Oryzias latipes: one gene and its partners. The protein of the gene in region 2 purifies or fractionates together with the protein of the main gene of each other region. This does not show direct contact. Links are inferred from orthologs where the notes say so. Each region holds a gene or a part of one and is shown on either strand. Other genes may lie near its edges. The genes, in order: dnajc8, sf3b1, mcm5, u2surp, snrpa, usp39 and snrpd1.

Region 1 (4,107 bases), on a different chromosome or scaffold from region 2:
AAAAAGCTACTTTTTTGACTATGTAACTTTATTTTGTAGTATTTATCCGTTGCACGAGGCTGAAGTTGGCGTCTGATTGTTAGCTTTCACTTGGAGGAAAATCAACATGATTTTAACGGATCCCATAGAAAATCCAAAGAAAACAGAGGCAAATACTTGACAAAGAATGACGAAAAGTTTCTGATTAAAAAAAAGAATGTTAAAGATTTTCCCTACAGCAAAGCTAAACTAGGCCGCACTTTAAAGTACAGAACAGTACAGAAAATACGAGGAATCAGGATTTAATAATCAAAAAGATTCATCTTTCCCCCTGAAAGTATCTGAGCCTGAATAGAGTTTCCATTGTTAAAACAAAAAAAAAACATTTATATCGCCTTTATTAGATTTTTTATTTTTTTACTAATTAAAAAAACCAAACATCTACAAATCAACAACTTTAGAATTAAACACCAACTAAGGCCAAATATATTGTCTGACATTAAACCTGAAGGTTGGGAAAACACTGATGAGGAGGATTTTAGACTGTGACTGCAGGGGGCGCCGATGAGCCGTGCTATCCTACAAGTCAAAGCTTTGTTCAACACTTCAGAATTAAAAAACTTCCTCATAAAAATGCTTCTCTCTTGCTTTTTCTAGCGTCTCGTGACATTTTTCCTCTCGGTTGATCCTCTGGAGTCATTTTCAGTTCACAGGATTGTTTTTGACGTTAGAAATGACATGTTCCAGATGCAGGGAAGCACACAAACCTCAAAGTTTTTCTGCCATTCTCTGTCCCGCTTCGCCTTCTCCGCCGCCTCGATCTCTTCCTCTCGAGCTCGTTTCCTGGTGAGGAGAGTCCGCCGCGTTACAGACGAGACGCCAAACGGACACAAAGGTCTGCTCTGAGAGCCGTGATGCGTTTACCGCTCATGCATGTCCTTCGCTTCCCTCTCCTTCCTCTTGATCTCCAGCTCTGCAAACAACTTCATTGTCTGTTTGTACACTGCCTGTTTAAACTGGTGAGAGGGAAAAAAAATACCCATCACTCAGTGCAACGTGTGTGATTCCAACAAACCTTTTTCCCAACATTTAAAGGAATTGTCGTTACCATTTCCGGGTCGTCCTCCTCCACATCTTGACATTTCCCGTCTTTCTTCAGCTGCTTCTTCTTCTCCTTTACCTGTTTGAGGACAGAAACGGTCACGAACCGGGATTTTTCAGTTGAATTCCTCACAAACAGAAGAACTCACATTATGTTCCACATATTCTTTTCCGGCCTCGATCACATCTAAAGCTCTTTTCTTCTGTTCTGGATCGAGTAGGAGCTTGTAAGCTTTGTCCACAGCTGGAAAACAACCTCAGGTTAAATATTTTGCTGCTTTTTAGGCACAAAAAAAAAAGTTAAATGATAAGAGTTTTACCTTCAAAAGCTTTCTGCGATCTGTCAGGATCATCCTGATTTTTGTCAGGATGGACTAATATGGACAACTGCAGAATTGAACAGACAAAGATTTAAAATAAGAAATAAATGTTTTAAGGGAAATTCAAACATAGGAATCGTTTCCTTACTGCTCTGAATCTCTTCTTTAGTTCATCGTCTGTTGCCTCTGGATCAATCTGTAAAACCTGAAAGCAAAACAAACCTTTAACACAAGGATCCAAACGCATAAAAACACTTAATGGCATTGACTTGAAAAAACTATTAACATTTCTTAAAAAACAAAAACATCTGTAGATCTTTTTATTTAAAAACACACTTGGGACAAGATGAATCCACATTATTAGACTTTTGTGGTTTCAAAATGAATCCAACTGTGTTTATTTACTGAACTCCTGTATATCTTATCTTAGTAATTCTATTAAGAGTCAGAAATCTTACTGGACTGAATCTGTAACTTTATTTATTATATATTATATATAAATGAAATATCAAAGCTCTAACTGCGCAAAAAAAAAAAAGTCAAATCCCATAATTATTTTACACAATAAAAGCTTTGCTATTGATGCAAACATAAACAAGATCATGTTCATACTTATTTTTCCATTTCAAATGTTAATTTAATTTTAAAACAAACATTATTTGTTTTTTTCTTGCTTCTAATGAAAGCTATTTCACTGTTTAGGTCCCCCATCCGCCTTTGACCGGAGTGGATGCTTATTTGGATATAAATAAAACAACAAAAGCGCGCGCGCTGTTTACCTCAAAGGGGTTGAGGTTGAAGTAGGAGGATCCGGGTCTGAGGAGTCTGTCAATCTGCTGCTTTGAGGTCAACACAGAGTCTCTCTTCTCTATCTGTTTCACCTGTTAAGATACACAACTCCACTGAGCCACAGACAAAGATCACCGCGTTGTTTACTACCCACAACACGCCGCTTTTTAATGAATGAATCTCTGGATTTCTGATCTGCGCGGGAACTAAAGGCAGAGCCGCGAAAGAGGCGTGTTTGAAAAACTGCAGCACAAAAAAATAAATCCTGTGGAAATACATTTGTGAACAGAAAAAGTCTGGATAATCTGCAGAAGTTTCCAGAAAATGAGAGTAAACGGTTAGCTTCCTGCAGCTAGCTGCTGCCTGCTGCAGCCCGCGAGGCCTCGTTTGTGGCGCTGGAGAAACCCGCGGACTAGCAAACGACAGCGGGCTGTTCCGGTCCACCCGGAGGGCTCGGAAAACACGCGTGAACCAGGATTCCGTCATACCTCCGTGTAAAAGTTCTGAAATAATTCATCTGACACACTGTGAGAGGACTCTCCTTCGGCCGCCGCCATTTTAAGCCCGGCTACTGTGACGTACTGTCACGTGACCGCCACACAGCCTCGCTTTCTTTAAATGGGACTTTGCGCAGAAAAATACCAAACAAACTATTTACACACATTGACAATGTAAGGAGACGGATCGATGGACCTATAACGGAGTATTTATGATAATCCAAAAACCTTCAGTTTGCTTGAGTTCTTATTTGATACAGTTCTCAACGATAAATCCCGTTTTAATACTACAAATTAAAGCAGGAAATTTCAAAATAAATGACTCAACTGAAATCAATTTTAAACCAATTATAATCAAGTCGAACGCTCCTAACTGCGCTTTACAGACCATAGTTGAAGGATTTAAAAAACGTGAACCTAATTTACCTTTAAAATTAATGTATTGTTATACCTCCTGTAAAGATGTATTCTTTAGGTCAGTTTTAATAACATAAAACACACAAACGCCAGTTTTTTGTTTGCACTTATTTATTCTGATGACAATGTAAAAAAAAAAAAAACATGTTTTAAATTACACATTTGTTATAGTAATCACATGAGAACAATTAGTCCACAGATCACCCGTTTACAGGTGACAGACGGGCAGAAAAACCCAAATGTATAGTGATAATAACCAGCTAGTAAAAAGTGTTTTCTTTTTTCCGGCTGGGGGGTCTGAACCAGAACACCAATGGGGGACCTTTCTGTGTGGAGTTTTCATGTTCTCCCTGTGCATGCGTGCGTTCTCTCCAGCGTCCTCCCACTGTCCGAAAACATGCTTCATATGTCAATTGGCAACTCTAAATCGTCCCTGGGTGTGAGTGTGAGAGTGAATGGGTGTGTGGTTTGTGGCCCTGCGACAGACTGGCGAACTGTCCAGGGTGTCCCCCGCCTTCGCCCACAAGTGGCCGGGATAGGCTCCGGCAGCCCCGTGACCCCGAAAGGGATTAAAGGGTAGGAAAAAAAAATGAATGAGTAAAACACTGTTTTTCTCACCTGTGATCTGGACAGGAGGCCGCCGAGCTCAGGTGAGGTGTGAAATCCTACAAGGGTACCTGGTGGAGATCCATTTTAAGACCCTGAACTACAGAAGAGCCAAACAAGACAGAAACAACCCAACACTTTGTTCAAAATGCATCCAGGCATCATCAGCAGGATTTTCAAACTAAAAGCATGACCACTACGGTTTGCTGTACTGCTTTCAGGTTAGGCCCCCTTTTGACTCAACTACTTATAGATTATAAGAGAGGACTTTGTTAACAAACATGCTCATATTTCCTAAATCATGTGATAATGAACAGTCTTACCAAAAAGTCTCTTCCGAATCTGTAAACTCATTCACATGGATGCGGGCAGCTCCTTTACTGCCTGGTGACGAGAGG
Region 2 (4,175 bases):
GCACTGCTCAGTCTGTACTCTCAGGTCTTTGACTTCTTTTTCAACATCAACATGAAGACATGTAGTCAAAGGCTTTAAATAAATGCTTGGTCTCTGAAGAACCAAATCAAAGAGGCTGCTGGGGGTGGAGGTTTGCTGTAGCTGCGCTGATTCCCCTCACAGCCCCCCAAACAAGCAGCCCGTGGACCCTGACCAAACTGACAAGTGCACAGTGTCCCCCATAACCTACACAGGATGAGTTGCTGCACCCTTAACAGAGTGCAGTACAGGACTGGCAAAGCAGTACTGCTGTAGGAGAGAAATTAAGGACAGTTAGTATGGGCCTGTGGTATTGGTGTACACAACGTTTCTTGATCACATTTTTCTATTTTACAGACTTGTAAAATAAAAGTATATATTTGCAAAACAACTTTGAACAAAGAACTGCCTTCACATGCAGGTTTGACGCGGCCTAAGCACACCTGACGGCCCCGGGCCGGTCGGCGGCAGCGAGGCGTTACCGTGAGCGGCTTACAGCAGCATTCACGGGCGCTGCAGAAGCTCACCCTGAAAGCTGGAGCAGTTCAGAACAGACTCTGCTTGTCCAGCTTGAACGCCTGAATTACCACAGGACACCTGGATGTCCGGAAACGGGGCAAGTCAGACTTTAAAGGGGCAAATTTAAAGCAATGTTTTCTCAAAGCACGTCTTACAAAAGTAAGAAGGTGCTGCTGAGCAAATGCCCCGTTGAGGGTTCAGACTCAGGAGGGTGGTCGACTGCGCCCCCGTGCACGCCGTTTACCCTCACATGCTGTCCACTGTGGGGTTGTTAACCCTTCGACCCATGCCTGTTCAAACCCTCTTACACTGACAGTGGGTTTAACAAAGGAAGGTTTCAGTCTACTACACTGTGGTCGAAGGGTTGAACAGAAAATCTACCTGGATGAAGCCACTGGCTTTCTTGGAAGAGTCATAAGAACCACGAAAAACACAGAAACAGAACAAAGAAGTGAAACTGAGGCATCGAGGCAGGATAAAAAAGGGTGACATTTACCGTCTGCAAAGGGGTCAAGGCGCTCAGGCGAAATGATCATCTGTCTGCGACGAGCTTTGTATTCATCTTCCCGATCTGCGATTTTCGGCGCGCGATGCTCTGCGAATGGGTCGTACTGCAAAATGGAGACAGAAATGAGGCTCTGATCCAAAGTCCTGGAAAGAAGGTGCACCTCCTGTCATGTTAAGGAACACATACATGTTCATCTGACTGGGGAATGGAGTTGAGCATTGCCACTGGTGCATGGTAGCCTGGCTTCTTCTGTCCCAACAAACTTGTCGATGTGTCATCTTCATCATCCTAAAGACAGAAAGAGAAACAAGAGTCTAGTCAAATCTCGCCAAAGCGGCAAGACTCTCCTAGCTCACACAAGACAAGCACGGTGGGAGCAGACTGAAAACTGCAGGTAAAACATCTTTACTTACATCTTCCTGCTCATTGGCTGCAATGGAAGTGACATATCCCACAAAACGACCGTCGCTGCCTCCATAGATCTCCTGGTCGTAAAAGCCAGTGGAGTCCAGGCCCACTCCCTGACCTGCATCCTCTTTCAGGGAGGCCTTCATCCCCTGGATCTCCAGGATCTGCGCCTCAATATCTAAGCACCCAAGTAAAAATACATGTGGGAATGAATATACATTACATTTTTCAACAATATTTTATTGTTAAAACTGGATTTGTGGCCATGTGGGTTTTTCGTAAAAATAAAAAACCACAACAAGTTATGGAAAGCTTCAATGTCAACAATTAATGACACTTTTTTTAGTCAACTTCATTAGTTACAAATAGCAAAGCTGTAGAAAAATGATCTTAAGTCGCATAATAAACGGGGGGGGGGGACTTTTGAGTTTTTTGATTGACTTTTTAATTGAAATCGGCTAAATTTGTAAATGTAATTTCATGCAACAAGCGCGCTCCTGAACAGTTTTCTCGCTTAATGATGAATCAATCCTGAACAGCAGCTCCAGCCTGGTCTTTTGTTTACACACCAAAAGCTGAGCCTGATCGCTCCAGCACGCGCCCATTGCTGATCACACGTTAAACGAAAGATTGGGCTTTTGTTACAAACGCACGTTGCTGACATTCATCCCGCGGTTCTTCGTGAACTAAACGGCCAGGTTTGCACCCAAAACACCGCAGACTGGTTTCGATAGGATGATCGGTTCTTTGCCACAGAAGAACCACAAAGATTCACACAAAACCGTTTTGCACTGCAAAATCGTTCATTTGCACTGCAAAAACATTTTGTGCAAATAGCACGGCGAAGTTGGTCACGCTGCGTGTTCGCGTTAAATATGCTAATCTACAGGACAAAGAAAACCAAACAACTGCAGATAACAAACTAACAAATAAAATACCAATATACACAGAACTCAACGGCTTAGCGCAGTAACGTGAACTATTTCACGGTAGCAAAGGTGCTGTGTGAGGCTTCAGCTCGCTTGCTAGCAACCGGCGCCATTATGTAAAATGTCCGCGTTGCGTCGTCACAGGCCGCCTCGTTTTTTATGTTTTTGTCGGCCACAAAGCACAACTTCAAAAAACATTTGACACCACAAAACGCATACATTATTTAAAAAAGCAAAAGAGCTGAAGAGAGGGCCACACACAACGTATTCACAGGTTTTCGTGATATTTTACCTTCGTGTGTTTTGGCGATCTTCGCCATCTTGACGGTGGTTGTTCGAGACTGACACCGGAAGTGCGTCACCTCTTCTTCCGCCTCTTTTAGCCAGCACGACAGAGAAACGTTATTATTATTATTATTATTATTATTATTATTATTATTATTATTATTATATTAAGTCAGCTTTATTTTTAAATGTACTGAATTTTACAAGATCTACAGCACAGATGAAATTTCTTTCCTCTCAACCCACTGTGCAAACAGCCTATAAAAAACAGCAACAATAATAATAAGTATTATAATTATCATTATTCACCTTGTTGAATAATGATTATAAGTATGTATTTTTCTCTATTATTGTATATAATTTTTTAACTTAACTTTATTCATGTTTACGCTCACTGCCCCCTCAGCGGCTCATCACGCGTGGCCGCTAGGGGCAGCCGCGAGCGGCGCCCCGCGCGTGGCCGCTAGGGGCAGCAGCGAGCGGCGCCCCGCGCGTGGCCGCTAGGGGCGGCAGCGAGCGGCAACCCGCGCGGCCGGTGATGCTGCTGAGGAAGCTCCACTTCTGAATCTGACAGGCGGACGCTGCCACTTCCTGTGCGCTCTGCCTTCAGCCCGCTGTCTCCCCAGATCCCTTCACTGCACCCAGGGCGGACGGAGGCTTCCGCGTGCTCCGTAAAGCTCCCAGAGCCGCGCGGCATCTCCGACCAGCGGCAGCCGTAGATGCGGGTTGTTTGCGGCGGCGGCTCAGACCTGTCCCGCCTCCCTTTGACTCTGCGCGGCCGCCGCGTTCTAGCGGCGCCGCGGATAGCGTCCGTGGAGCAGGGCTGATGGCCGTGGAGCCCGGCACGGCCTTCCTCACAACAGCAAGCACCGGTTACCCACGAGCCTCGTAGACGCCGCTGCAGCCCCGGTCCAGGCGGACGCTTGCCGCGCAGCATCGCTCCGTGCAGGTCGCAGCGGCTGACCCAGAGATGGCGGTCCTCAAGCTGGCCGATCAGGTAGGGTGCGCTAGCCACCGTTAGCTTAGCCTCCGAGGCGCCGCTCAGCATCCCGCCCGGGTCAAAGCGGAGCTCGGTTCCGCCTCTGAGGGGACGGACCGCGGCGCAGACGGAGAAGAAGAACTTCCGCAGAAAAAAGTTCAGCTCGGAAGGTTTTCACCGCTCATTTCAAGCGGAACCTTTTCTTCATTGATTCATCTGATAAAAACGGGTCTGTGGGCTAGAACTAAACCAGAACCAGAACCAGAACTGCGGGGGAAACAGGCAGAAGCAGAAATAGAGGAAAACCTCCAGTGTCTCACTTCAGTGTTTGTGTCATCATCACTACTGATAACCGCAGATGTTACTGACAGCAGGTCTGAAATGTGAGGAATGCTGCAGGTGACATCCTGGCTCCTCCCCTCACCTGCATCCAGGTGTTGGATCAAAGACGGCAGCTGTCCTCAGAAAAGCTCAGTGGCACATGAAGGTGCTCTGCTGGGGTACCTGATGACGTCACAGTTCTTCAGGA
Region 3 (4,062 bases), on a different chromosome or scaffold from region 2:
GATGTATTTCTTAAAGGTGGCGAGAGGAATCTCGCCCTCGACTCCTTCCGTCTGCGTCTGCGCACTCAGGTGGACGTTCATCACGTGGCGAGCCAGCGTCTGCGAGCAGAGTCAGGCGGCAAAGTCAGCGGAAGCACTAAAGAGAATTGAAGCATCAAACCTCCCGTCGCGTCCTCTCACCATGTCTCGCTGCTGGTCGTGGTGGTCCTTGATGATGAAGATCATGTCGAAGCGGGACAGGATGGTGGGCATGAAGTCGATGTTGTCCTCGCCTTTGGTGTCGTCCCAGCGGCCATACACAGAGTTGGCCGCCGCCAGCACGGAGCAGCGGGAGTTCAGGGTGGTGGTGATTCCAGCCTAAAGGCCGCAGACTATTAGCATTTTTCCAATGAAGCCCAATAAGGAGGTCAAACTTAAGGCGGTTACCTTAGCGATGGAGATGGTCTGCTGCTCCATGGCCTCGTGGATCGCCACTCTGTCGTCTTCTCTCATCTGAGGAGAAAAACAGCCTGAAGGACGAGCAACCCCGATGCTGCCCCCCAGCTCACCCTGGACCTACCTTATCAAACTCATCAATGCAAACGACACCACCATCCGCCAGCACCATAGCCCCTCCCTCCATGATGAATCCACGAGTGCTGGGGTCTCTCAGCACGGAGGCGGTCAGCCCAGCTGCACTGCTGCCCTTACCTGATGTATAAACCTGCAAGTGAGAGTCAGCATCAGAACTTTTTTCCCTCCGGATAATTAAAAAAAAAAAAAAACACAAACAAATACCCCGATCGGTGAGCATCTCTCCACAAACTTAAGCAGCTGGGATTTGGCTGTTCCAGGGTCTCCAAGCATCAGCAGGTTGATGTCTCCTCTGCGCGTGAGACCGTCAGGTAACCTAACAGACACAAGAACAGACTCTTAGCTTCAAAACAACATCGTTGCAGCAGCAACAAAAATGAAGAAATAAACCGTTCTATCGCCGTACCTCTTTCTCGAGCCTCCAAACAGCAGACAGGTGATGGCCTTCTTCAGATCGTCGCTGCCATAGATGGAGGGAGCGAGGGACTGCGCCAGGGAGCTGTAGATGTTGGGAGAGGTAGACAACGCTCTCAGCTCTTCTTCCTCCTGTGCAGAGACGGGTCCGGTGGCGCCGCGGCCTGCAGCCAAGAAACAAGAAGATAAAATGACCCCCCAAACCTAACAATGTGCTTCTCACAACCAACCCTGTCATCGGGATCTTTACCTGCTCCTTCCGTGTCCACCTGGATGCCAACGACTCGCAGGTAAGATGAACGAATTCCCACGCCGATACCCTTTTCTTTGCCTTTGGCCTTTACAGCAGCCATTTTTTTGATAGAGTAGATGCCCATGATGGTCACTCGGTTGCCCGGGACCACGCGGTCACACAGGTACCTGGGGACGGAGGAAAACCTCAGTGGCGTGCCGCAAAAGCAACGGAGCAGCAGACTCCGGTGATCTCCATGGCTACCTGTCGCAGTAGAGCTGCAGGTGGCGCGGCATCTCTCCGTGCGGCACAGCATCGGGAGACTCCTGCAGGCGGAGCGTCTGGAAGTCCACGCACACGCAGCGGTCCGGGATGATGAAGTATGGATCCATGGGACACTTCACTCTGCCAGCATTCTCGCTGAAAACACAGAAGGTCGTTTTGAGGCTGAGTCGTCTAGCAGGGTCAACCTGAGACCGGAATGCGATTCCTCACCTGTTGCATTTTCTGGGCAGAGCGTAACCCTGCAGGCCCGGAGGCAGGGGGATGTTGGGGATGACGCTGCGGCAACCGCGGCACTGCAGGCACACCTTGGTGGCCTTCGCCTTGACTGCTGTGGCAGAAATGATGATGCCGTGGACCTTCACCAGACGGGACACTTGCTCCGACTGGAAAGACACACAGAAAGGTGATCCATGTGTGGAATGACTGCAACGTCGGGCACAGCAGGGTCCTAAGGTACCTTCAGGTTCCGGATGGATGTGTGGTGGGCATCGCTCTTCAACATGACCTGGATGTCCTGCACCGCCTCCTCCCCCACAGGTCGGGGTCGGGTCACCTCATCGGCCACCTCCTTAGCTGCTTCCTCCAGCTTAAGAGATACGTTTTATCTATACATTAGTCGTGAGTCAGACTTTCATGACCGCATAAAAATGTGAACTAGGATACTCACCAACGGCAGGTTCTCAGTAGGAAGTTTGTAAAGGCAGTCAGACAGATCTTCATCAAAGCTGGCAAGATCCTCCACCTCCACCTCCAACCAGAACTCCCCCAAAGTGTAATGTCGCTTCAGCTCATCTCTGCGGAACAACAGGAGACAATCAGGACTTTTGAGCTTCTAAAGCAGATGTTTTAATCATATAACTACATTTCCCATAATGCAACTGCCTCGTGATATAGCACCACTTCACTTATCGTTTACTTTGAAAGTAGATGCAGATTTGAGAACCGCTTTGAGTTCATAAGGAGCCTGACCTGTATTTGTAAGTGAACCCGGTTTGGTCAGTTCCCTCTCTGAACTGACGCAGGAACTCTCGGAACCGCTTCTTGATCTGGACCCGCTTCTGTCCACCTTCGTCCCCGCCGGGTCCCTCTCCCCCGCCGAAGCTGTCGCTGTAGTAAACGCCGGGGTCGTCAAAGCCAGACATGCTGAAGCGGCTGAAGCTGACACCAAAAGTTGTGCTTTTCTGGAGCCAAACAGACAGGAAGGACCCGACTTTGTGACGACGTTTCGCGGGAAAAACTGAAGCGTCTTCCTTTCTGTTTCCCGCGGGTTCTCTGCTAGTTCCGCCCCTTTCCTAGACTCTGATTGGTCAGGTTCAAACATAGCTTTTCTTTATTTGTCGAACATGTAGATATGGGCGAACTCTTCAGCTGAAGGCGGGGCGCTGAGTCGCGATGGCGCGAAAAACAGAAGAGGAGGAGCTTCTGAAGCATGGCGACAGCAGAAAAGCAAAATAACAAAGAAGGGCCACGAGCTTAGAGAAACCTAATGACACATTTTCTCCTAGATGTAGAATTTGAAGTGAGACAGTGAAACCCATGCAAGCACAGTTTATTTTGAGTTAATTAAAGCAACTTTTTCCACATAAAGTTACATTTTTATCAATGATAAGGCAACTTAAATGTGAAATGTGTTAACCTAATAGGAAAACATTACAGCTGCTGATGGATGACGCTTCAGCCTTCTAGCACCTCTTTTGTCTTTGTTCTGCTTCAAAATAAGATCTGAATATGTTCAGTGGGGCAAAAAAGTATTTAGTCAGCCTTGTGCAAGTTCTCCCACTGGAGATGAGAGAGGCCTGTAATTTTCATCATAGGTATACATCAACTATGAGAGACAAAATGACATCTATGACTCCCCAGAAGATCTCCCCCGTGGGCTCCCCCGTGAGCAAAAATCCCAGAACCACATGAGGGACCTGGTGAATGACCTGCAGAGAGCTGGGGCCAAAGTAACAAAGGCTACCATCAAAAACACACTACAACGCCAGGGACTCAAACCCTGCAGTGCCAGACGTGTCCCTCTGATAAAGCCAGTACATGTGCAGGCCCATCCAAAGTTTGCTAGAGAGCATTTGGATGATCCAGAAGAGGATTGGGAGAATGTCCTATGTTCAGATGAAACCAAAATAGAACTTTTTGATAGAACTCTACTCGTCGGTTCGGAGGAGAAAGAATGCAGAGTTGCATCCAAAGAACACCATACCTACTCTAAAGCATGGGGGTGGAAACATGATGTTTGGGGCTGCTTTTCAGCAAAGGGACCAGGACGACAGATTTGTGTAAAGGAAAGAATGAATGGGGCCATGTATGGTCAGTCAAAGTGACCTTGGGCAAGACACTGAATCCCACCTTGCCTTTGGTGGGAGGTTGGTGCCAGTTTTCAGCAGCAGAGCCGCCACCAGTGTGTGAATGCGTGTGTGACTGGGTGAATGGGTCTGTGACTGTAAAGCGCTTTGGGCCTTGAAGAAGGTAGAAAAGGGCTATATAAGTATACGCCATTTACCATTTACCAATCCCAAACACACTGCCCGGGTAATGAAGGAACGGCTTTGTAAGAA
Region 4 (4,289 bases), on a different chromosome or scaffold from region 2:
TTTAGCCTCTCTCGGGGCTGTGCATTGAAGGGAAGGCCGGAGGGAGGCGGCGGTAGAGTGTGCTCCATCATAGAGGGAGGGATGTAGATGGGATGGGGTGGAATGGGAACACCTTTGCCCCATCCTAATTTCATCTCAAAGTTCATGATCATCTTTCCTGTAAATTGAGAAGAAATAAAGGATTAGAAAAACTTTAAACACAACTCAATTCAAAAGTTAGTTCATTAGCACCCTGATGTACCATTGAGGTGTTTGAGTGCTCGCTCAGCATCCCTCCTGTTCATAAAAGCCACAAAGCCACAGTTCCGCTCCCGAGCTCTCTCCTCATCTGTCCGTGGCCACATGATCTTCACACTGGCCAGAGGGCCGTAGCGACCAAACTCTTGACACAACATTTCTTCATTCATCTAAAAAACAGAATAGTCAAAAAAGAGAAATTTACTCTTCATTTGCTGGAAGATTTTCATGACAAAAACTTGTTTTTAAATAAGCAAAGGGTCCCCTCTCTGTTATCTGGATGACCTACCTGTGGGTTGATGTTTCCAAGATACAGGTTCGTTGTGGATGGGTCTCCTACATCGTGGGAACCTGGTGCACAGTCATCCAAAACTGCAGACACAAAGGAGAGAAAAGAATGTCCTGTTGCTGTCCGACGGCACAAATCTGACTTTCTGAGCAAGCTGCACATATTCACGGCCTTTATATTAAATCAAAATTACCACTGGACGGACGGTTTCTTCTTGAAGAACCATCCGCTAAAAGAAGCAGAAAAGCAGTGTAAATTTTGTTTCTGGGTGAGAGTGGATAAAGGGGTAGCAGGTGAGGTCAAGCGTGCGGGACAGGGCCTTTCAGACCAAGTTAGTACGCCAAAGACTTGAACAGAGCGCAAAAAGACTCACATGAACGTCTTCCCTCCATGCCAGCGAGGGGCTCAAAACGACTAACACGGCCTTTCAACTTGTGTCTTTCATCCCTTTCCTCTTGAATCCTGCCATGAATGCAAACAGTGTTAGTTTTTAAGTACGATTATCTAAGGCCAGACAATCAAAACAATATCTTTTGAACAATCCCAAAATGTTCATATTGAAACATACTGTTTAAGTTCTTCCTTGAAGAGTTCCAGGTTACTCTTCTTCTTTTCCTTTTCGGTATTTTTCTTAACAGTCTAAAATTCAAATAAATACATACTATGAGAAAACAGAAGCAAAGGGGGATACAACAATTAAAAACGCACATGACTGACTTTAGTAAAACCTACTTGTTTTCTGTCAAATGCTAAAAATTGGGGTGGGGTCTCCAAAGGCAAGATGCTTTTTGTTTGGGCGTCAAAACGGGACTTGGGCTTGTATAACTTTCCTTTTTTCTCATCAGCGGCTGCTTCTTCTAGAAAGATATTGAAAAAAAAAGATCCAACTCAATCTATTAGAATATACATAAGAATATATATATATGAATACTGTACCAGAAATATGACGACAACTGTCAATTAAACAAATAAAGTGATTTATATGGTAAAGTACAAGACACATTTTAAGAAAATTACTAGTAAAATAAAACAAAAATTTACAAGTTTGTATTTGTTTGCAACAAACGTTGTAATAAGCATAAAATAAATGTTTAAACACTAACAAGTGTGTTTTACTCTCCACAGTGATGATCAAAAACTGTACCTTTTGTTGCATTTGCGATACCACCACGGACAAATGCCTTAACTTTCCCCTCTCCTCCACCTTCGAATGCAGCAAGAAATTCCTCATAAATCTCTGCTGCTGCCCGCTCATCCTCCTGAGTTGAAAAATAAGACATTTTAAAGGAAAATTTCTAAACAGATTCACTTCTCATATAACATTTTATTAGAGCATGAAATGAGAATAATGCTTGCCTTTTTCTTTAGTTCATCTTGTTCCTTTTTGCTTAAGGTCCTTTTTGCTACTGCCATCTTGCCAATGCTAAAAGATTTCAGTTTGCTCTCAAGCAGCGCCTGCACATCATGTCAAAGAAAAAAAAAAGTTGGCTTTCAATTTGCATTTTCTAACCACTAATACAAAAGATTTTATGGCATAAGAGCATCCAAATAATACCAAACAGTCAATGTGTTCTATTTTGGTTACACTTTTTTTAAATGTCAAAATAATAAAGCAGGTAAACTTAAGTTTAAACAGACAGCTCCGTTTCAAATATGGGCATTTAAGAATTTAACCTTAGTTTTGCTCAGTTCAACATTTCAGTTTGAAGTGACTATTTAGTGGATTTAAAAACGACATTTCTGAGAGGCCCGAAGAATGTGTGTGGACTGGAGCGCGACTGAATATATGATCTACGCGGCAAGTAGCTGCTCCCGCAAGCTACCGTTGACGTACAATCAGCGCTAAAAAGACAAAACATTACACCGTTTAGATGTTTAAGCCAAAAGTTTGTAACCTAAACTGTTATATTTACTATATTTACATTAGTTACTGTACTAACTATGTTTATTCTCTTGTCAACAGCTAACCGAGTCTAGCTAAAAGTGGCTAGTTTGTTAGCTTAGCTTAGCTCAATGAAGTCAGTAAGGCTGCTGCACGTTTGCGCGGCGGTACGTCTGAAACTTATCTTTCTTGGAGTCACGCTCTGTTACTATATGTTTTAATCAAAGTACTCTCTCATTTAAATCATTTTTACTGTGACAGACACTTCTAAATGGGTACAAAAACAAAGTGAAAATGTCACCTTAGCGCTAGCTTTTTGAGAGCCAGGCGTTCGGTCCGCCATCTTTTGTGGAACTAAAATAAAATCGATCATCGAATCAATGATATGTGTGTATAAAGCAGAAACTTCAGGGCGTATAATCGATCACCGAGTCACTGTTTTTTGTTTTTGACATTTTGAAACATCTTTAAGATGTTTCAAAATGTCGAGGAATGTTTAATCATTAAAGAACATGTAGAAAAAAAGACCTTAAAAGCTTTAATGTTATTTAATGGGGAAAAAAAGCACATCACAAAAATCCAAAAACCGACCCCAAAGGTTGTCTAAATGTGTGACAGGACCTGAAAAAAGAGCAAAAAAGATTACACATTTTGCAAAAAGTCCATAAAAGTTCAACTAAATCAACAATTCCAAATGTGAACGGTATAAATGTGTTTTTAAAAAAGTGTTTTAAATTTGCAAAATAATAACCCACTTGCTAGGCAGTACATTTTTTCTAATGTAATAGAAAAATATGTTAGACTTGTGAAAAAAAACATTTAATTTTAAATACAGTTATGTGTTAGAAATAAAAAGAATTAATGTAATATTTTTTTCATACGTCATGAGCGGAGTGACGCTCACTTCCGTATTCCTCACGCCTATGGAAGCGATTATGTAGCATAAATAAAAAGCAAAGTCAAAACAAGAAATGCTTTTTCATTTTCAAAATGAAGCTGCATTTTTTGACTCAAAAATATAATAAAAAAGCAATCCACCAAAATGCTTTTTCATTTCCTTCCTCAACACAGCTTATTCTGTCACTTAATTAAAATTAAAATTAAAATGGTATTTGACATTTCATTTTCAAACAGTTCCATGGTAAATGTGTAGCATAATTCATTTAGAAATGTCTAATTTGACCATTAAAATGGATTAATAGAAATGCTTTTTAATTTTCAAAATGAAGCTGCATTTTTTGACTCAAAATTAAAAAGAAAAAGCAATATTTCAAAATGCTTTTTCATTTCCTTCCTCAATACAGCTTATTCTGTCACTTAATTAAAATGATAAATAAAATGGTATTTGACATTTCATTTTCAAAAAGGTCCCTGGTAAATGTGTACCAAAAATCATTTAGAAATGTCTCATTTGACAATTAAAATGGATTAACAGAAATGCTTTTTAATTTTCAAAATGAAGCTGCATTTTTTGACTCAAAATTAAAAAGAAAAAGCAATATTTCAAAATGCTTTTTCATTTTATACCTAAAACCGCTCATTCTGTGTCATAATTCAAACGAAAATGCAAAGAGGGGATTGCATTTGCATTTTAACATCCACCCCGCGCAAGTTGTCACAATATTCAATTCGAAAAAGCATTAGCAGAGGGGAGGCGGGGCGATGACGTCACTGCTTTCTCCGTGTGTCCGGCCGCTGACTGACGCACACACGCGCACCAGGAGCAGACTGTGTTAGCGGCAGAGACGAGGGTTTTGTGATGGTTGTGAACTTCTGATGAGTTTCCACAGCTTCTCAGGACTAAGTAGCTGCATGTCCGCCTTCTGCGGTCCTCCTCCTGACGCACCGCGGACAAGCTTTGTTCTTCGGACCGCCAGCTGC
Region 5 (4,044 bases), on a different chromosome or scaffold from region 2:
CTGCTGTTATTTGCTATGATCTGGTACAGTTTCTTCGGTGGTGCTGAAGTTGGTGGAGGAGGAGGCGGACAAGCAGCCAGTGGAGGAGGTGGAGGAGGTGATGACAAGCTGCAGTCCACCGGCATAGTCTCAAAATCTTTCTACTCTGTCTGATCAAAACCAGCTCTGTTGGGGGGAAAAATGTACCTCCATTGATTTCTTTAATAACCACCAGGGAGAAAGTTAAGTACCATTAAAGTCTAACATGGGGCTCAATAACTGCTTACCTTTCACTTCGAGTCGTTTGCACACAATCTAAAAAGCTCGATGTTTACCTAAACATGTCAACCTTTGGACGAAAAAGATTTGACATATTCTTGCACGTGGTAAACAAACTTTTCGATTTAACTAGCTAACAAGCTAGTAGCTAACGCAGCTCCGTGCTCATATTTGGACATACTCGCTCTTCTTCGTGTGTGCGATCGCTCTGTACTCAACTGTTACACCACCCTCCAGTGAGTGATGATGATCATTCCATCACTAGTCATCTACAGTTTAACACACCATTTACACACATACCGTACAATGTATTTGGAAATAAAGTTGAAGGCACAAAGTTAGTGACAAGTCAATCCACAGTCAGTGTGTAACAGGACAAGCGAAGTTTTTTTCGCTTGTGTCTCTGGGTTTTTTTCTTTTTCTTTTACAGATTTTTGACATTTTCTTTTAATCTTTCCTGTCAAGATACGATACCACACTGATAGGACGATTAAAATATCTTGCTAACGCAAATACTGAAACAAATTTCGTTTTTGACCATTGACTGAAAAGGACCGCAAATACACTGGCTTTATTTCTATTTTTTATTCTTGTTTTATTTATGTATTTATTTTTACTGTTACTGTATTGTTACTTAGTTTTTCCCTCTGTGATTGCTTTAATTGTATATTATTGAACAAGATTCGTTTTAACAATCGATATTGCTTATAATTTTGTTCTTAATAGTTTTCACAAGGTTAGAGTGAGGTGGAGGACGATGATTCGCTGTGGCGACCCCTGATGGGAAAAGCCGAAAGAGAAAGAAGAAGTTTTTTACAAGGTTAAAAAGATTTTTTTATTTATTCAGAACGTAATTGTATTCTTTATATTTTACTGTTATAAATGTTGCATTTTTGTATTATATTCTGCAAATGTTCAATAAAAAAGAGAAGGACCGGAAATCACGTGCAAGTTGGATTTATCGCGAGCAGATGATACGGAAATTGTAAAGGCAGGTTTTTCATTCACCCATCGAAGTGAGCGTTCCTTTCGCGCCGAGCGGTGGTGGGTTTTTTGTTAAAACTGATACTCAGGTGCGGTTATCCGGTGTTTTTTCTCTTTTATAAAACCAAATGTCATAAGGTTACAGATAGTTCGATTAAATTAATCATTTATTGCTGATTTGTCTCAGTTTATACCGAGTTTTAAGCTTTATGCTAGTAATGCCTGCATGCATTCAGGGTTGTTTGCTAGCGCTAGCTGTTAGCCTGCTAACTAGTTGATAGCATTCAATTCATTTTATGTGACATGCTTTGTTCTTTTCCAAACAACTCTTCGTAGATTTTAAGATGACCACTCCAGAAGTACGACCCAATCACACCATATATATCAACAACTTGAACGAAAAAATTAAGAAAGATGGTAAGTTTTTTAACTTCTGGCCTTTCTTTGCTTTTTTGGTCGAAAGAACGATGTGGTGATAAATGATGTTAATTCAGATCCACCACAGCTTTTTATTTTCCTCTGTCTTTATTAGAACTGAAGAAGTCACTGTACGCCATCTTCTCGCAATTCGGTCAAATTTTGGACATCCTCGTCGCACGAACCCTGAAGATGAAGGGTCAGGCCTTTGTTATCTTCAAAGAGATCAACAGCGCCTCAAATGCACTGAGGTCCATGCAGGGGTTCCCTTTCTATGATAAACCCATGGTAAGTTAAACGTTGTTTTAATTTCCTCCATGGTTTTAAATTTACAAATATCGTCCTGTAAAATGTTAAAACTCAAATCAATCTTAGTTTTCAATATTCCTCTCTGCTGTCATGTGTTGTATAGTTTGTGAAATGTTTCAATTCCACAGTGTGCATCAAATGAAGGATTGATCTTTGTAAACTTAGAAGTGCTCAGTGTGAGAGGATCACTGAACACTTAACACTGAACACTTTTTAATGGTTATTAAAAATACATTTAAATAACTAGTAGGTATAATGGATTTTTTCTTTTTTTTAAGCACACTTGGTATAGTAATGCCACATATTTAAACGTGTCTTACTGCAGCGCATTCAGTATTCCAAAACAGACTCGGACATCATAGCAAAAATGAAAGGAACCTATGTGGAACGTGAGCGCAAAAAGGAGAAGAGGAAGCCCAAGCCTGAAGGAACAGGAGCTAAGAAAGCTGCTGCTGCAGCCATGATGGCTGGTGTGCCTACTGCTATGCCTGTAAGTGGGAACGTTTACTGTGACCAGAATGACATGGCAGCTCTTACTCGGACAAGTTAAAAGTGGAAAAATACTGTCTGCAAACTTGCTAAGTTTACCATAGCGATAGGTTGTTTGGAGATTTTAAGCTAAAATAACAGCAATTGATGGAGAAAAAGTTTGGTTTAAAAACCCCACAGAACATAATATCAACCTAGCAAACATTTAGAGGACCATGAACATGTTTACAATGTGTCATTCTCTAGGGAATGCCTCCTATGAGCCAAGCTCCCCGTATGATGCATATTCCAGGCCAGCCGGCCTACATGCCTCCTCCAGGCATGATGCCTCCCCCAGGAATGGCGCCTGGCCAGATCCCCCCAGGTGCAATGGGTCAGATGATGCCTGGCCAAATGCCTCAGCAGGTAATGATTTTTGTCCCCCTGTTCTTTACATGTTTAACCAAAGATGAACATTCCAGGTTTTGTTTCTTTTTTGTCAAACATTTGCCTTCTCTTACAGGTTGCAGAAAATCCACCGAATCACATCCTCTTCCTCACCAACCTGCCAGAGGAGACGAACGAGCTGATGCTCTCCATGCTCTTTAACCAGTCAGTATTGACTTGATAATTGTTTTATGCTTTGACTTTCTTTTCTGCCCAACATATCAAAGACTGACCGTGACCGTTTTCTGCGTTTAGGTTCCCTGGCTTTAAAGAGGTGCGTCTGGTCCCTGGTCGCCATGACATCGCCTTTGTGGAGTTTGATAATGAGGTTCAGGCTGGAGCTGCACGAGATTCACTACAGGGATTCAAAATCACACAGACTCATGCAATGAAGATCTCATTTGCCAAGAAATAATGCCAACACAGGTTGAAATTTGTAATTTGTTTTTTTCCTTTTTAAGTGGTGGAAGTAAAAGGCGTTTTTTTAATAAAATATTTGTTTTTTTCCCAGATTACATGTAAGTATGCTTTTTCTAAGTCACTTTGACATGACTTTAGTTTTAAAAAGTTTGAAAGCATTGCACCCAGTGTCTGACTTGTCAGACATTGTACCTGGAGCTTGGTATTTGTTGTTTTGTATTAAAGTAATTAGATTACTTGATTGATTTTCATTATTTCTTGTTTATGGATTTTTTTTTGGTCATCTAAAACTTGTATTTACTCCATCCTTCTCAGACTGGCACCTACACAGCTTCCTGCAAGGGGTGTAACAATTAATCAATGTATCGATTTATCCAACCGGATCTGAGGCAAGTTCGTAATTAACCTATAGCATTATAAAATCCTTTCAAAATAATATGAATGAATGATAATCGATCTCGGAAAATACTAGTTGAACTGAGACATGATCGTGTTTTTTTTTGTTTTTTTTTACCATAACTATTAGTAATGAATTGTTGTTTACTTGTTTTGTACACATTTATTTACACTAAATTATCTTGCAAGAAATCCAAGTAATCTGGTAAACGTCACTTTCACTGCACAGCACCCTGGTATTTATTATGAGATGCATGGAGTTGTCCTGGATTGATTTTAGGTCATAGGATCATTCAAAGTACACATATCTACTATGAATCTTGTCGGCAACCACAAACTGAGCCG
Region 6 (4,299 bases), on a different chromosome or scaffold from region 2:
TGCTGTGTGAAAACAAAGAGCAGACCAGTTAAATTGAAGGACATTGCATGCAGACAACCAGCACTGGCTCTAAAATAGACTCCTTACATTGGAATAAAAGAGAAAATTACACATCAAATAAATGAATTCAGAAATTCAACAGATTTACTATAAACTAGGAGTGAATTTCTGACTCACATGGCTTCTTCTTTGTGCCTCCAAGAGCGCCATGCATGGCGTTTAGGAACCATGTCATGAAGTCCACAGCATCACCTGCAAACCAGAAAACATTGAGCAAACTCTACAAACTTATCCAGTGAGTTAAAGATTGTGGGGCAAAAAAGTATTTGGCAGCCACTGACTCTGCAAGTTGTCCCGCTCAAAAAGCTGAGTTTGGTCTGTAATGTTTACCATAGATATACTTCAACTGAGAGATAAAATGTCCAATAAATTATCCAGGAAATCACATTGTCAGATTTTTAGAGAATGTATTTGTATAATAGTGCAGAAAATAAGAATTTGGTCAACAACAAAAGTTCACCTCAATAGTTTGTAATGTAACCATGATTATCTATGACAAAGGTCAAACATAGGTCTTAAGCAGGTTTACAAACACTATAGCTATTATTCTGGACCATTCTTCCATGCAGAGCTGTAATGTTTTGAGGCTTTTGCTGAGAAACATACTTTAAACTCCCTCCACAGATTCTCTTTGATGCCAGAGTTATGTTTTTGGGATCAGTCATGTTGGAAGATCCAGCCATGTTTCATCTTTAGTGCTCTCATTGATGGAATGAGGTTTTTGCCCAAAATCTCAGCCTACATGGCCCTATTTATGTCAGCACTCCACAGGCCACAAAATAGTTACCTTGTTTGGTGATTTGGAAGTTTTTCTTGCTGCACAGGACTACAGCCTGCAGCATCTCGTGGGGCGACACGTGGGCCTTGAAGTTTCTCGGATTCCAAAGTTTGCGCATCAGCTCCCCAAACCGCTGCACCAGCAGAAACATGATGTCCCCTGGTGGCCTCCGGATGTCTCTGTAGTTCTCCTCCTCAAGGAAGTAGTTTCGCAAAGGTGGGACGTTGGAAAAAGCCTAAAAACAAAAGTACAATATGAAACCCCCTGTTATTTAAGTTGATGCCACAGCCTCAAAAATCAACATCAGCGGGGTTTCATACCTGTAGTACAGCATTGGCATAGTCGTTGGCTTTAATGTTATTAAGCCCTACAATCCCTGGCAGGTAGGTTGTACCATCGTAGGCTCTGTACAGTTTACCATGTTTGTCCAGACCCTCAATGTGCTGCTTGGTGAAAGTCGGCTTCAGCACATACTAAAGAAAAAAAGAGCAAGATTACCAACACAAAGCAAGAGCTTACAAAAAATAAAAAAAGGAGGGGTAAAAATTACTTAACATAAAACATTAAAAATTTAAAAAAGAAATGTAAAAAAAAAAGACGTATTAAAATTACAGCCAAAACTCTAAAAAGTATACTTTAAGACATTGCTAAATAACTTATTTTTAGATACTAGTACTGATACTTATGTGCAAAATATAGTAAATAAAATATACTATGCAATCAAATACATTGGCCTTGTATAAAATATATAAATATCGAACACATTTTTATGTACTCTGGGTTCACAAGTTAAAACTATTTTTAAACACAGAATATGTTAATGAAAACTATTGAAGTGTTACACTGACAAACAAGGAATGTGAGCAAAAGAATCTATCAATCATATCTAGAAGAAAAACAAAAAACTTTGTTTAATTTTAACATGTAACTGTTTACTTTTCCCCCCAGAGCAATTACCTTTTCATTTATACATTGAAAAACAGCAGATTTACTGCATTACTTACTGTGATGTCTTCTAGCGATGAGTCAATGATCTCATAGTTGTCTGGCAGACAGTAAAACTTGAGTGTGTGCAAGTTGAGGAACACATGGTGAGAAAACTGGACACTGTGAGTGTAGGCATGAGACTTCTGACCTCTGCCTGCAACAAGGAATGCAAACGTAAAGATGTTTAGTGTCATCTAAAAAGGAAAATAACAATGTGCGTTTGATGTGCTAATATGTCTACCTTGAAAGTATTTCCCACAAATAAGACAGGCATAAACATTAATGTGAGACAGAGAAATGGAGCAGAGCTTCTCAAAGTCAAAATCCAGAACACTCCTGCAAGACGAGAAGAAACTGAATTACAAGAAGAATGCTAACTAGCTTTAGCATACATTTTCAAACATTTCCTTGCCTGTTTATGGTGTCCAGGTAAGGACAATGGCGGCTTCTTCGGTCTTCAACCACACGTCCTCGCCTAAATTTGACTGTCACTGCAAAAGAGAGCAAATCACGATAAAGCTCAGTAGACGTAAACGGAATTCATTTTTACGAGAACAACTAACTACTAGCAATCAAAACATGCTTGCTAGCAAGCTAAGATTTTTCTATTAATCGATCTCTGTTTTAAAATAAACAGGTTTTACATATATTTTTATATGCTGATTGTCTTTGTCTTACATGTGAAACCATCAGTTTATTGGTGTAGAATGGAACTGACACAATATAAACTTTTTATGCTAGAAAATGCTCTTCTGGCTGGCTAACAAAACGAAAAACGGACGTAAGAGACAAATCAGCATACCTTCGTCTTCGTTATCCTCGTCGTCTTCTATTTCCTCCCTTTCACGCTTTAAAGACATTCTTGTAACTATAAGTTAGCAAACGGTTTGCTAACGAAACAAAAATTAACAAAACTTGAAGGTTTACGAGAGGAAATGAATGGATATTATTCAGCTCCTCGAAACTCGCGGTGGTTGTACGTCGGTGGTAATGGCGTGGGAAACCAAAACGTAACCCGGAGTTTAAAAAATAAATGTTTACCCCCATGTAAACTCTAAGTAATATATTTTATTTATTTGTATACTTCAGTTTCTTTTTTTGTCACAGAAATATAACCAAAATAGTTTATATTTTAGTTCAATGTGCATTGTAGGACTTACACGCAATAAATTAATTTGTAGAAACTCCGGGAACGCTACGGTTGGACATCCATTTATACATCGTTAGCTGTCTAGCTTTTTGTTAGTATTTTGCTTGTTCTTCTTTAGCTGTGTTTTCTTTCTAGAGTGTTTGCTGAAATGGATCTTATAAGAGATGAAGGAGTGCATGAGCTGAAGTACAAACCGGGGGGCCGTCTGGACATGAGCCACGGTTTCCTTCATCATATTCGGAGGAACCAGATTGCCAGGTGATTTCCTTTTTGCTGTTAGCCGAGTTAGCATACTTACTTGGGATGTCAAATGTCAATCTGTAGCTGCTGTCATTTCATGATTGATGTGAAATGATTTTTTTAAAAATGGCAGACAGTGAAATAACATTTTTTTAAAGTACCTAAAAGGCTTAAAGTCAAGTTTATTTTTACTTTAAAGCAGTAGAAGCAAAACCCTATTGGACTGACTGAAATTTTAAAAGGAGCATTAAGTTATTCGGTTTATGTTTTATTAGTGTAATTTATTATTTAAAAGTGGATTATTATATAAACTTAGGTTTGGTGTGTAAAACTTTTAAAGTTCCTCCTTGATAAATTACATACGCTGAGTTGGGCTGTTTTACAGCATCTGCTCTCTGTCTGGTCTTAAAAAAAGCTGCTACAATAATGTATGATAAGTATTTTGATTTACGTCCAAACAAAAAAGTTTGTTTTAATTCCCACACTCTCACTCTTTATTTAATCATTTAAAACGGATTTTTAACATGTTGATTTTATTTAGGCAACTTTGAAAGATGAACTATAAAGCTAAAAGAACAGCAATAATAATGTTGCTTTGTTGTGCGGCTCTTTAAATTGCTTTGATGTATGAAAAACAAAGCTGTTTTGCCTTAAAATAATAAAATTTTAAAAAAAGTATTATCCTCCAATGTGTAAACAGACCTAGGAACATTTTTAAGTTCATGGCCATGACCAAGATGCTCTGTGTTTTATTCAACTGTGCAACTTGCTATGTTTTTAAGAAATAATCAGAAAATATTTCAATTTCTTTATAAGAGATGACTATGATAAAGAAGTGAAGCAAGCCAAAGAGCTTCAGCGGCACAGGCGCACCACAACCCCCAAAAAGCCTCGGCGACCTGACATCCAGGTGTACCATCCTCGACGGAGACGTAAGACTGACATATTTCTTACTTTGCTGCTTTTAGAGGAAATGTAACACTTTTGCGTTTCTGTTTTGGTTCTTTCCAGATAGTTCAGAGCCAGGAACCGCCGCTGATGCTGACGAGTGGAATGAGAGTGGGTCGGGCACAGACACTGAAAC
Region 7 (3,932 bases), on a different chromosome or scaffold from region 2:
GAGATCTTCAATAACAAACATAAGTTTTTACAATGATGTCAAAATTCAAAGTGGATTTTCTTTATTTTATTGGAAACTTATGTGGGTTAAGAGCCAGCCCATCTAAGTATTGGACAAAAGGTTTTTACATTTGCAGTCATCAACATCCACACCATCCACCAGAGGTGGATCAGCAGTATCTGGAACATCATCAACAATAAGTTGAGATGTAATCAGTTCCAGAAACTGTGAAAAAAAACCTTATCAACCTATTTCAATCACTTATAGGAAAAGTGAAAACTAATCAAGCCAATTAAAGAGCCAAATATTACAAAGAGAAAAAAAAAGATTTATTCTTCTTTGATGCCAGTAGAACAGCTACATTTTCAGCCAACTTTGCCAAAGACACAAGAAGGTATAAAAAAAGCAAAAAACAGATGACATTTTTACCCAGTTTAAATGCTGCTCAGACATTTTATTCAAGATGGTACAAATTATGAATCAACAGCATCCAAAACCCCCTCGCGGTCTTAAACAACCCACGAGTATAAAAAAGAAAAACAACCCTAAACTTACACTTAGATTCACTTTGCGTCCACCGCGCAGTACAATTAAAAGCTGTACAAACAGTTGGGGCTCTGAAATCATCTCCGTGGTCCACCTCGCCCTCGTCCTCTTCCTCTGCCACGGCCCCGTCCTCTGCCTCGCCCCCTACCAGCAACTGAGAACAAGAAAGGCCAGATTCTTTCACCATACTCGTGAAAAAAAAAAGTTTTAATCAGCAGAACAAAACATTTCTCAAAGAAATAAACAGCAGATTTACACACCCATGATGAATATAAATACTGTTGAGGGATTTCTTATCGCAGAAAAATCCTTCTCAACTTAATACAATTTTCCAGGTAAGAATGTGCCCAAATCTCCCACCTGCTTCTCTCTTCTTGGACTTGATCTTTGGTTCAATGTCGACCAGCAAGGTGTCCAGTGGAAGACTGTCTGGCAGGATGAAGTAGCGAATGTTGTTGCCTCGGATACTCAGGGACTCCAGCTGAGTGGGTTCCCTGTTCTTTAGGGTCATTTTCACCGCCTTCAAGTGTGTGTTCATGCTTACATCAACACCTATTAAAAAGAAGAAGAAGAGGATTTTAAAAATGATTTAGTTCATTTATTCGTCTCTAAAGTGTTTGCTCTCACCTGTGATGGTGCCATGGACCTGAGTGCCATTCTTCAGTTCAATGGTAACGGTCTCATGACTGAGCTTCATCAAAAACCTGTGTGGACACGGGAGAGTAGCATACATTTACATTTACTTAACCTTTAAGAGTTGTTTTACTGCACTATACTTTACCAAACATACCATTTTGTAATCAAAAAGCAGTACCAGTATAATGTATCTACACTTCAGGGAAAGAATCATTTTCGCAAAAAAAAAAAAAACATGATTTATTGTCATCCCACATGAAACAAAAAAGGTTCACGTGTTTTATTCTTACTCAAAAGTGTATTTTTCAAAAACCTAGAATTGGCACATTCATTTTGGTTTTCTGAATCCAAAAGGCACTTTCATTTAAACGTCAATGTTTTAAAGTGACAATACCATGAAAAAAAATACACTAATAACATGCTGACCTTTAAGCAGAACTAGAACAGGAAAATGTTAATCAATAATTGATTGGTGGACTTTAACAAATTAAAAGCATCATTTTTATGTCTGTTCATATTCACAAAATACAAATGAAATAAACAAAATGTCAAACATAAAAAAAACGAGGGAAATAAACATACTGTGATATGCACCATTTCATACAAAAACTGCATTTGATCCCATACATACTGGATAAAATGGAAGACTTTAAACTCCATTTTCAGATTCACATTTTTTAATGTTTTGTATGAACATTTATGCGGACTTTTTGTTAGAAATAATTGTTGGTAACGTTTTCTGTTAATCATAAAAATATTTTGATAAATTAAATACAATAAAAAACCGCTTTATTAGAAGGTTGGCACCATTGCTGTAGAAGACTTTAATGACTAGATCCATCTTGAATGATCAATTAGCCAACTTACTGCTTTGCACAAAGAAGACGTCTCTCTCTCACAAACATTAGACAGCATTTTTGTACAACACATAAGATTTAACGTATAAAATTGTACAAAATACCCCCCCCCCCCTTTTTGAATGTATTTTTTTTTTAGTATCTAAACAAAACTCGTGTTAGCTCTTAGCTTGTTAGCTTCGGTGGATTGATACTGTTGTGTAAACTGAAAACAAAACATTTGTCTCTTAAGTTGTGGAAATTAAAAACATCCAAAAATAAATACAATTAAATAATGATAAAGCACTTTGAGGAAACGGAAACAACATCTAATAAATTAACCTCCTTTAGTACGATAGTTTTAATAATGCGGGGGGAAATTTGCAAAACCATAAATGATAACGAATCAGCCTCGATCTTTTACAAATATTGCTAAAACAAGCAGTTTAATCCTTGATTAAATAGTTAGCTCTAATGATATGTTTATATGTATTTTTTGAATGAAAACCCAGCAGCCTTGTTCCCGCCTCTCCACACAGTTCATTTGTCTATCTGAACCCATCCGGCCACACAGCCTTTATTTCATCATCCTATCTTAAACCAGTCGACACATCTACAGACCATGCAGCAAATTACCTGACTAGTTTCATGACGAACAGTAGAGAAAAGATCCTCCACCGACGAGAAAAATTACAGCGATCGAGTGAAATCACAGGCCGCTGATGTACCACCAACGTTTGTGTCGCGTTGATATGACGTCAGAAAGAGGCCACCGCTCACCGTCAATGTTGTCTTACCGCCGCCTGGTGGTGAGATGAAGAACAGTCAGTGGAAAGACAAAAATGAGTTGTTTTCTCTTACTCATTGGGTTGGTGGCATCTAATATTCCTTTACTGTCTTTATTTAATTACTTACCAATTACTTTAATTATTAACTGTTTTTCTATGTGTTTTATTGTTTTTTCCATCTAATGCTGTTTTTTTCCCCTCTCAATCTACTCAATTTTAAATGTTATGTTAATGTAAGCCCTTTGGCACCCTGATGCCATTGTATGGTGCTAAAAAATAAAGTACCAGTCATTTATTCATAGATTTCTATTTATGTATTTGGCATTTAAAATTATTAATGGAAATGCCATTTAACAGAGAAACTTTTTTCTTAAATTTTGTTCTTATTGGCCCTTTTTTTGAAGCAACAAAAACAAAACATCTCTGAGAGAACTGCTTCAACTACGAATACTGTTCTGTTTTTATTTATGATCAAAAAATTGTCATAGGAATTTATTCAGGCATTGTTTGCAGTACCGTGAAAAAAGAGAACACAGCACACTGTGGTTCACATTCAGCCAATCATAATTGACCCGATTTGGTAGAAGTAGGCTTTGTGATTGGGTGTCTTCATGTTGGCATCACATGTACATAAAAAGGCAAAGACAGTAAAGACAGAAAAGAAAAAAAAATAACGATTTACTTCCTGATTGATTTCATTTTTTTACCTTTTCACCAACTTGCTCGTATTTAAGGTTATCGATTGATAGAGCTGTTACTTCCAGTACTTGATCAATTTTCAATACGTAACTGTATCCTTTACATCCTTACAAAATACACAAAAAGCTGGGAACCATTGATCTAGGAAAGAAGACAAAAAGAACAAAGGAGCAAACTTTCAGATCTTTTTATTGAGAGTAAACTTTGCATTGATATTTCATTTAGAGTTTTGGCCAAACAGCAATACTTTTTATTTATTGAGACAAGCTGGGAATGTATCAAGTGAAACCTAAAGAAAGTGCAAATTGTTGTATTTAAAAAAAAAGAAAAAAGAAGGTATTTGTGGAGGGAGGATTTAATCAAACAGTGTGGAGAACAAATGCCACCACAACATTCACCATCAGTCCAAACGTGAAAATGCTGAAAA

Evidence for each region.
Region 1: the proteins of sf3b1 (region 2) and dnajc8 purify together in Homo sapiens (co-immunoprecipitation; 4 studies listed by BioGRID and IntAct, with this or other methods). This does not show direct contact. The link is inferred for Oryzias latipes from reciprocal best matches to the Homo sapiens genes SF3B1 and DNAJC8.
Region 3: the proteins of sf3b1 (region 2) and mcm5 purify together in Homo sapiens (affinity purification with mass spectrometry; 4 studies listed by BioGRID and IntAct, with this or other methods). This does not show direct contact. The link is inferred for Oryzias latipes from reciprocal best matches to the Homo sapiens genes SF3B1 and MCM5.
Region 4: the proteins of sf3b1 (region 2) and u2surp purify together in Homo sapiens (affinity purification with mass spectrometry; 4 studies listed by BioGRID and IntAct, with this or other methods). This does not show direct contact. The link is inferred for Oryzias latipes from reciprocal best matches to the Homo sapiens genes SF3B1 and U2SURP.
Region 5: the proteins of sf3b1 (region 2) and snrpa fractionate together in Homo sapiens (co-fractionation; 4 studies listed by BioGRID and IntAct, with this or other methods). This does not show direct contact. The link is inferred for Oryzias latipes from reciprocal best matches to the Homo sapiens genes SF3B1 and SNRPA.
Region 6: the proteins of sf3b1 (region 2) and usp39 purify together in Homo sapiens (co-immunoprecipitation; 3 studies listed by BioGRID and IntAct, with this or other methods). This does not show direct contact. The link is inferred for Oryzias latipes from reciprocal best matches to the Homo sapiens genes SF3B1 and USP39.
Region 7: the proteins of sf3b1 (region 2) and snrpd1 fractionate together in Homo sapiens (co-fractionation; 5 studies listed by BioGRID and IntAct, with this or other methods). This does not show direct contact. The link is inferred for Oryzias latipes from reciprocal best matches to the Homo sapiens genes SF3B1 and SNRPD1.

Annotation. Positions count from the first base shown.
Region 1 is NC_019869.2:6,659,773-6,663,879, reverse strand, and holds the start of dnajc8 (dnaJ homolog subfamily C member 8), read right to left. Parts: upstream 2,801-4,107; 5' UTR 2,747-2,800; coding exon 2,678-2,746; intron 2,282-2,677; coding exon 2,180-2,281; intron 1,606-2,179; coding exon 1,549-1,605; intron 1,468-1,548; coding exon 1,401-1,467; intron 1,325-1,400; coding exon 1,230-1,324; intron 1,160-1,229; coding exon 1,088-1,159; intron 996-1,087; coding exon 904-995; intron 823-903; coding exon 747-822; intron 1-746. UniProt on the Homo sapiens protein: Suppresses polyglutamine (polyQ) aggregation of ATXN3 in neuronal cells.
Region 2 is NC_019879.2:181,879-186,053, forward strand, and holds the start of sf3b1 (splicing factor 3B subunit 1), read right to left. Parts: upstream 2,801-4,175; 5' UTR 2,703-2,800; coding exon 2,675-2,702; intron 1,632-2,674; coding exon 1,459-1,631; intron 1,334-1,458; coding exon 1,232-1,333; intron 1,149-1,231; coding exon 1,034-1,148; intron 918-1,033; exon of another isoform or gene 1-917. Other genes in the region: ankrd44 (serine/threonine-protein phosphatase 6 regulatory ankyrin repeat subunit B), read left to right, coding at 3,638-3,664. UniProt on the Homo sapiens protein: Component of the 17S U2 SnRNP complex of the spliceosome, a large ribonucleoprotein complex that removes introns from transcribed pre-mRNAs.
Region 3 is NC_019866.2:21,038,135-21,042,196, reverse strand, and holds the start of mcm5 (DNA replication licensing factor MCM5), read right to left. Parts: upstream 2,801-4,062; 5' UTR 2,647-2,800; coding exon 2,474-2,646; intron 2,299-2,473; coding exon 2,172-2,298; intron 2,091-2,171; coding exon 1,962-2,090; intron 1,888-1,961; coding exon 1,715-1,887; intron 1,640-1,714; coding exon 1,484-1,639; intron 1,408-1,483; coding exon 1,238-1,407; intron 1,152-1,237; coding exon 980-1,151; intron 890-979; coding exon 778-889; intron 704-777; coding exon 560-703; intron 493-559; coding exon 427-492; intron 358-426; coding exon 181-357; intron 100-180; coding exon 1-99. UniProt on the Homo sapiens protein: Acts as a component of the MCM2-7 complex (MCM complex) which is the replicative helicase essential for 'once per cell cycle' DNA replication initiation and elongation in eukaryotic cells.
Region 4 is NC_019878.2:19,058,137-19,062,425, reverse strand, and holds the start of u2surp (U2 snRNP-associated SURP motif-containing protein), read right to left. Parts: upstream 2,801-4,289; 5' UTR 2,782-2,800; coding exon 2,710-2,781; intron 1,982-2,709; coding exon 1,883-1,981; intron 1,786-1,882; coding exon 1,671-1,785; intron 1,384-1,670; coding exon 1,259-1,383; intron 1,166-1,258; coding exon 1,095-1,165; intron 989-1,094; coding exon 900-988; intron 756-899; coding exon 720-755; intron 610-719; coding exon 527-609; intron 408-526; coding exon 242-407; intron 158-241; coding exon 1-157.
Region 5 is NC_019871.2:13,958,484-13,962,527, forward strand, and holds snrpa (U1 small nuclear ribonucleoprotein A), read left to right. Parts: upstream 1-1,249; 5' UTR 1,250-1,331; intron 1,332-1,578; 5' UTR 1,579-1,586; coding exon 1,587-1,659; intron 1,660-1,774; coding exon 1,775-1,947; intron 1,948-2,293; coding exon 2,294-2,458; intron 2,459-2,703; coding exon 2,704-2,862; intron 2,863-2,959; coding exon 2,960-3,048; intron 3,049-3,138; coding exon 3,139-3,298; 3' UTR 3,299-3,309; intron 3,310-3,394; 3' UTR 3,395-3,544; downstream 3,545-4,044. Other genes in the region: c13h19orf54 (UPF0692 protein C19orf54 homolog), read right to left, coding at 1-125. UniProt on the Homo sapiens protein: Component of the spliceosomal U1 snRNP, which is essential for recognition of the pre-mRNA 5' splice-site and the subsequent assembly of the spliceosome. U1 snRNP is the first snRNP to interact with pre-mRNA.
Region 6 is NC_019867.2:12,332,727-12,337,025, reverse strand, and holds the start of usp39 (U4/U6.U5 tri-snRNP-associated protein 2), read right to left. Parts: upstream 2,801-4,299; 5' UTR 2,686-2,800; coding exon 2,628-2,685; intron 2,317-2,627; coding exon 2,238-2,316; intron 2,162-2,237; coding exon 2,067-2,161; intron 1,980-2,066; coding exon 1,843-1,979; intron 1,312-1,842; coding exon 1,159-1,311; intron 1,074-1,158; coding exon 848-1,073; intron 253-847; coding exon 178-252; intron 3-177; coding exon 1-2. Other genes in the region: c9h2orf68 (UPF0561 protein C2orf68 homolog), read left to right, coding at 3,124-3,233, 4,032-4,147, 4,227-4,299.
Region 7 is NC_019869.2:22,965,507-22,969,438, forward strand, and holds snrpd1 (small nuclear ribonucleoprotein Sm D1), read right to left. Parts: upstream 2,801-3,932; 5' UTR 2,669-2,800; coding exon 2,655-2,668; intron 1,251-2,654; coding exon 1,174-1,250; intron 1,099-1,173; coding exon 907-1,098; intron 701-906; coding exon 624-700; 3' UTR 52-623; downstream 1-51. UniProt on the Homo sapiens protein: Plays a role in pre-mRNA splicing as a core component of the spliceosomal U1, U2, U4 and U5 small nuclear ribonucleoproteins (snRNPs), the building blocks of the spliceosome.